Callithrix jacchus: one gene and its partner. The protein of the gene in region 1 binds, or shares a complex with, the protein of each later gene. Links are inferred from orthologs where the notes say so. Each region holds a gene or a part of one and is shown on either strand. Other genes may lie near its edges.

Region 1 (3,500 bases):
TGCCTGTAGCTATGATTTTTCAGGCAGGCTGCTTCTCCGAGTACCAGGCTTTACTGTCTACCTAACTGATTTTTCCTTTTCTTCTCCTCATTTGTATTTATTTATCAGTGTGTTATGTCTTTATATACACTTGGGGATATGGAAAAATGCACCTCTCACTCTGGGTAACCGTAAATACTGTAAATTTGAGAACCACTCTTTCAGGCCTGATAAGGAGCAGTGACAGAGTAGGGATGATCATGTCAGATGTCCCTGGTACCCAGGAATGGCTGGATGAGAGGAGGAGAGAGGGTGACCTGCCCCTGCCTACAAGCTCTAACCCAGCTTGTCCCTGAAGCTGTGTGACCCTGGACAAGGCCCTGCCCCTTTCCAGACTGTTGTCCCCTTCTAACCTGGGAGAGAGATGGCACGGAGGCCCCCACCTTCTGGCCTGTTTCCTCCTGACCCCGCCTCCTGCCCTCCTGCTGAGCAGATCCGAGTGAAGCCTGATAGGACGGGTGTGGTCACGGATGGTGTGAAGCACTCCATGAACCCCTTCTGCGAGATTGCAGTGGAGGAGGCTGTGCGGCTCAAGGAGAAGAAGCTGTTGAAGGAGGTCATCGCCGTCAGCTGTGGGCCTGCACAGTGCCAGGTGCTGAGTCTGGGGAGGGCCTGGTCTCCTGGGTCTGAGGGAGGAGGGGCTGTGGGCCTGCACAGTGCCAGGTGCTCAGAGTCTGGGGAGGGCCTGGTCTCCTGGGTCTGAGGGAGGAGGGGATGGGGGCCAGACTCCTGGGTCTGAGGGAGGAGGGGCTGAGGGCCTGGACTCCTGGGTCTGAGGGAGGAGGGTCTGAGGGCCTGGACTCCTGGGTCTGAGGGAGGAGGGGATGGGGGCCAGACTCCTGGGTCTGAGGGAGGAGGGGATGGGGGCCTGGACTTCTGGGTCTGAGGGAGGAGGGGATGGGGGCCAGACTCCTGGGTCTGAGGGAGGAGTGGATGGGGGCCTGGACTTCTGGGTCTGAGGGAGGAGGGGATGGGGGCCAGACTCCTGGGTCTGAGGGAGGAGGGGCTGGGGGCCTGGACTTCTGGGTCTGAGGGAGGAGGGGATGGAAGCTAGATTCCTGGGTCTGAGGGAGGAGGGGATGGGGTCCAGATTCCTGGGTCCCTCTGGGGATAGTAGCCAAGTCAGGCTCCTCTGTCCTTGGCAGGAGACTATTCGTACCGCCCTTGCCATGGGTGCAGACCGAGGTATCCATGTGGAGGTGCCCCCGGCAGAAGCAGAACGCTTGGGTCCCCTGCAGGTGGCTCGGGTCCTGGCCAAGCTGGCAGAGAAGGAGAAGGTGGACCTGGTGCTGCTGGGCAAGCAGGTAGCTGTGGTCAGCCCCTCCTTGTGCCCCGGCTCATCCCTGCTCAGGAGGAGGGTGCTGGGGATGTGGGATGGGACAGCAGGTGGCCAGGCCCAGGGCATTCAGCCACTCCAGGCTGAGCAGCTTGGGACTTTGCTGTCCCTTCTGATAGAGAATTTGAGTAGGGAGGACAGAGTCCCTCTAGGTGTTAGATCCTCCTGGGCCAGGCACGATGGCTCATGCCTTTAATCCAGGCACTTTGGGTGGTCAAGGTGGGCAGATCACTTGAGGTCAGGAGTTTGAAATCAGCATGACCAACATGGCAAAACACTGTCTCTTCTAAAAATAGAAAAATTATCCAGGCATGGTGGCAGGCGCCTATAATCCCAGGTACTTGAGAGCCGAGGTGTGAGAATCACTTGAACCTGGCAGCCAGAGGTTGCAACGATACAAGATCACCTGGGGGCAGAGTTTCTTTCAAAAAGAAAAAAAAGAGAAAGATCCTCTTGGGTGAGTTTAGAGACTGGGAGACTAAGGTGATGGTCACTTGGGGAGAATGAGGCCTGGGCCAAACCTGATGGGACAGAGCAGAGACATGATATGGCAGGAGAGACTGGGCTTAGCCATGGGGAGGGAGGGCAGGGAGGAGGCAAGGACAGTGCCTGGGTCTGCCTCAGTAACACAGGTAGGAAACCTGGGAAGAACAGGACGTTACAGGCAGATCCTACATGGGGCGTGTGAAGAGCCCAGGAGACATTGATATAGGTTCAGGAGACTTGAGAATTTTGGAGGGCACTGGGGAGCTATGGGAAGTCTATGAGCAGAATAGGGAGGGGATCAGCACTAGATGCAGAAAGAGCCCCCTTGGGCTTCGAGAATGGACTGGAAGCAGAGATTGGAGGCCAGGAATTAGTGAAGAAGGTTAGGGCTGGGTGAGGACCCGACCAGAATCTCCTCTGCCACACTGGTGCTCTCCACTGGGGCAGAGGTGCATGGGGCTCATCTGTTCCCTCAGAAGACCCTGGGACACCATCCCTCCTCAGGGGATCTCATGTAAATCAGGTGCTTCAGGCACAGCTTGATCCAGAGTCCCACATGAGCTCTAGGCTCCCCTCTATCTTGGCTTCAATGTCTGCATCTCCAGGCTCAGATCCCACCAGCCCAGTGACCCCAGCAGAAAGAAAGGAGCCTCTTTGCCAAGGGCTCCAGCAAAGCTCCCAGGGTTGACTCTTCTTTGGTGCAGCTTGAGTAATGTGCTCCTCCCTGAATCAATCACTAGGATTAGGGCTAGGAGGTCCTCGCCAGCCCAGATCCTCTTCATCCAGCTGCCCAGGGGCCACAGGGCAGGACTCCTGAGAGGCTTTATACAGAGGGCAGAGATTTGGTGACAGGGATGCCATGTGGCCCCACATGCCCCTGGACAAGTGGCTGCTTATCTCTGGGCCCAAGTGAGGGGATTTAGACATAAGTCAATGAACTATGGCCCATAGCTACCACTGATTTATAAATAAAACTTTATTGGAACATCACCACATAGGTTCATTTACATATTATTTATGCCTACCTGTGTGCCACAGCAGCAGAGCTGAGTCATTGTGACAGAGACTGTATGACCTGCAAAGCCTAAAATATTTACTACATCTATTCCACCATAGAAAAAGTTTACCAACCCGCTGGGTGTGGTGGCTCATGCCTGTAATCCTAGCACTTTGGGATGCCAAGGGGGTGATGATCATCCGAGGTCAGGAGTTTGAGACCAGCCTGGCCAACATGGTAAAACCCTGTCTCTACTGAAAATATACAATTTAGCTGGGCATGGTGGTGCACGCCTGTAATCCCAGCTATTCAGGTAGCTGAGTCAGGAGAATTGCTTGAATCTGGAGGCAGAGGTTGAAGTAAGCCGAGACTGCACCATTGTACTCCAGACTGGGCAATAGAGCAAGACTCAAAAAGAAGAGAAAGAAAGAAAAACTAGACAAAGACCCGAATGGTCCGTGAGCTCCATTGATCGTCATACAGTCTTCTGTCTCTCCCCATTCAGGCCATCGATGATGACTGTAACCAGACGGGGCAGATGACAGCTGGATTTCTTGACTGGCCACAGGTGAGGCTGGAGTGGGGAGCACCTGCTGAGGGCCAGGCCCTCATCCCTCCGACTTCATTTCTGCCTCAGGCCCT
Region 2 (3,500 bases), on another chromosome or scaffold:
CACTCAATCTCTAAGACTATTCAAAAACCTGTGCTTGCAATTGTATATTCAAAGGTGCACATGACATATAAAATATCTGAATTAAAATTTCTACAAAATATGCATTTAGAATGTCATTATTGATGATTTATAGTTATTCATCACTATGTATGTGTGTAACTCACTGCTTATCTTGCTTTTAGAACCTTTTGCCCAGAGTAGCAGCCAAACTTGAGGTTGCCCCAATTTCTGACATCATTGCAATCAAGTCACCTGACACATTTGTGAGAACTATTTATGCAGGTGAGTACTCAAGGAAGATAATTAACATGTTAAATTTTAGTGAAAAGCATAAATTAATCTTGAAGGTAGAATTTTAAATCAAGCCATACAGTTGCTTTAAGTGGACCATCTTAAAGGTTTCTGAGGAAAATTTTAGTCTAGAATTGCTGATGGACCCTTGATAAGGCATTCTCTCTGATGGATCACAAGCACAGTGTTTACCTGCCTGGTCATTCAGTTTGCAGAGTGATATTTTCCTAGTGGTCAATAAAAATTAGATTCACTATTCAATATATTTTGTAAGTGGCACCTGGATAAACAAAACTTTAAAAAAAGATAGTATTCTCTCAGTCTTTGCTGCTTCTACCTCATTTCCTTCTGCATTAAGAAATTCATTTCAGCCAGCTGCAGTGACTCATGCCTGTAATCCCAGCACTTTGGCAGGCTGAGGTGAGAGGATTACTTGAACTCAGGAGTTCGAGTCTGTCCTAGGCAACATGATAAGACCCCCATCTCAAAAATAAAATAAAAAATTAGCTGAGCATGGTGGCATGTGTCTGTAGTCCGATACTTAGGAGGCTGAAGTGGGAGGATTGCTTGAGCCAGAAGGTCTAGGCTATAGTGAGTTGTGATCATGCCATAGCATTCTAGCCTGGGCAACAGAGCAAGACCCTGTCTCAGGCAAAAAAAAAAAAAAAAGATATGCATTTCATTGTCTCTTCAGTTGTTTGATGTTTTGCTAAACACAGTGCTCTCTAGTGGGGTTGGAGAAGGCAGTGAACTCTTCGTTTTTTTTCTGATTAAAGTTGTATATTTCATTATAAATGGCTAATTCTCAAATCAGAGTTTTCATCTTATGTAATGTTTGTGGAAAAATATTTTGTTGTAGTTTAGGTTACTGTTACTGTGATAGCTAATCCAGGGTGTCTCAAATCCTCAAAATCTTGGCACATCCATACCTTTTCTTTATGACTCATTGTGTTTTCAAGGTATTCCTCCTTTAGCTTGCATAGTAGCTATGTTCTTATTAGGTTGTTGCAGCTCATAGTTTTGAGTTACTGATTGTATTGTATTTGGAAAAGGAAGCTTTGTTCATATTCCTTTTAGGGGTGTAGTGTGCCTTCTTAGTGTGGCTGCCTGTTGCAGTTTCCTCCTCCTCGGTGTGGTAGTACTTGCCCTGCTTCTAAAGACATCCAGGGTTATACAAATATCTATTGATATGTTTCTTCACTGTTATGGTCCACTTTTTCTTATACTTAATAGAGTTAGAAAACAACTTGTCAACGGTTATTTCTTGCCTTGTCTGTGAAGTAAATTCCAAGCATCAAAGGAATACTAGTTTTGTTGCCTTTTGTTGTTGCTTTTTAAAAATAGATTGCGTGTTTCAGGAAATGCTGTATGTACAGTGAAGTGTGATGAGAAAGTGAAAGTGTTTTCAGTCCGTGGAACATCTTTTGAAGCTGCAGCAACAAGTGGCGGTAGTGGCAGTTCAGAAAAGGGTGAGTGTTCATTTGGAGTTTTTTGGTTTTGTTTATTTTTTTCATAGACTAAATAATAACAAAAGAGATGACCTCTGCTTAAATTTCTAATGCATAGTATTTTAAAGTTCAATTTAAATGATATTCCCAAGTTTGTACAAAAATAATAAATATATATAACTTACATCTTTTTCACATCATCTTTGATACTAGGATAGTTGCTTTGGTAGATCAAGGAAGTAGGAGACAGAGGGTCTATTAATATTAAGCTTTTTTACTCTTGTCACTGTTTCCTATTATGATATTTAGGTGATTCAATATAACAGAAGAATGTAATAATAGTAAATGTGTAGAGGGTGTTATGCTTTAACATATACAGTGTCTTATTTAAACCTTATAGAAAGAAAGTTATTCCATATTCAGACTCAGAGAATTAAATGTGTTCTCAAGTAATACAACTAATGTGGCAAAGGCTGGAATCTAGTCTCGTTAAGTCTTTCCATAATCAGAGAGAACGAATTAGGAGCATAGAAAATTCACAGTAATTAACAAACTTAAATTTCATGGAATTACATACTTGTGTGTTTTTCTGAAAAATAATTATTGTCATGGAAGTTGAAATCATAGTCATTGTTTTATGTGTATTAATGTGTGCAGCATCAAGTACTTCACCAGTAGGAATATCAGAGTGGCTTGACCAGAAATTAACAAAAAGTGATCGACCAGAGTTAACAGGTGCCAAAGTGGTGGTATCTGGTGGTAAGTGGAATATTAATCTTAAAATATGTAAACTGAAAATACTTTGTTTTGTTTGCTTGTTTTTTTTTTTAATATTAGAGGTACATGGATCTTTTTCAAATATAAGAAATTGAGAAGTTTCAGCTATTGTTCCCATTTAACCAGTTAGGAAAATGAAATTATGAACGTAATACACAGTTTGGGTTTCTGTTGCACACCTAGTCACTGGCACCAGGGGGAGCATGGTATAAATCTCATCTCTGTAGCTTTGCCACTTGGTACCATCTTACTGATAGACTTCTGTGTATTCTGCAGAGTATGGTTGGCTTCTGAATTGTAGACAGAACTGGTTGGAATTTCAGGACTTGTGTATAATTCCTCCCTTTGTTCCACTTGGAAAAATTTCCAGAGTTGCCCATGTCTGTGTATAACTCTAAAACGTTACTTAACATGTAATATCAAAACTGTTAATATTGCATAGGACATGCTTATTTTTGTATACCATGCTCCTTGTCTTTAAAAACAATGGTTTTTTATGGCCCACTGACTGACTTTGAAAGCATAAGGACTGCTGTGCTTTTTAAATCCTTGCAAATTAAACATTCAACAAAATAATTAAGCTTTCAGACAATCTTTATTAAAAGTGGCACTGAGAAAAAATAATATTTTGAAATGATGTATCTGACTTGGTTTTTTGTTTTTTGAGACAAAGTTTTGCTCTTGTCTCTCAGGCTGGAGTGCAATGACATAATCTTGGCTGACCGCAACCTCCACCTCACAAGTTTAAGTGATTCTCCTGCCTCAGCCTCCTGAGTAGTTGGGATTACAGGCATGTGCCACAATGCCCAGCACCTGTAATCCCAGCACTTTGGGAGGCTAAGGCAGATGGATCAGCTGAGGTCAGGAGTTTGACCAGCCTGGCCAATAGTGAAACCCCATCTCTACTAAAAATACAGAAAATTAGCTGGGCGTGGTGGCGAGTAATATAATCCCAGCTACTCAGGAGGCTGAGGCAGGAGAATC

The links.
Region 2: the proteins of ETFB (region 1) and ETFA are in contact, whole or in part, in a crystal structure (PDB 2A1U), measured with the Homo sapiens proteins. The link is inferred for Callithrix jacchus from reciprocal best matches to the Homo sapiens genes ETFB and ETFA. Residues at the interface, in NP_001976.1 of Homo sapiens: Ile14, Tyr16, Val18, Ile20, Val22, Val29, Thr31, Phe41, Leu102, Arg106, Lys124, Gln125, Ile127, Asp128, Asp129, Asp130, Cys131, Asn132, Gln133, Gln136, Met137, Ala139, Gly140, Phe141, Asp143, Trp144, Pro145, Gln146, Thr148, Phe149; in NP_000117.1 of Homo sapiens: Glu27, Leu88, Pro89, Glu90, Ser113, Ala114, Phe115, Lys117, Asn118, Pro121, Arg122, Ala124, Ala125, Lys126, Glu128, Val129, Ala130, Pro131, Ile132, Ser133, Arg146, Thr147, Ile148, Tyr149, Ala150, Gly151, Asn152, Ala153, Leu154, Cys155.

The regions. Positions count from the first base shown.
Region 1 is NC_133523.1:44,945,457-44,948,956, reverse strand, and holds part of ETFB (electron transfer flavoprotein subunit beta), read left to right. Parts: intron 1-472; coding exon 473-631; intron 632-1,184; coding exon 1,185-1,343; intron 1,344-3,363; coding exon 3,364-3,426; intron 3,427-3,500. UniProt on the Homo sapiens protein: Heterodimeric electron transfer flavoprotein that accepts electrons from several mitochondrial dehydrogenases, including acyl-CoA dehydrogenases, glutaryl-CoA and sarcosine dehydrogenase.
Region 2 is NC_133509.1:24,723,954-24,727,453, forward strand, and holds part of ETFA (electron transfer flavoprotein subunit alpha, mitochondrial), read left to right. Parts: intron 1-182; coding exon 183-282; intron 283-1,649; coding exon 1,650-1,760; intron 1,761-2,396; coding exon 2,397-2,498; intron 2,499-3,500. UniProt on the Homo sapiens protein: Heterodimeric electron transfer flavoprotein that accepts electrons from several mitochondrial dehydrogenases, including acyl-CoA dehydrogenases, glutaryl-CoA and sarcosine dehydrogenase.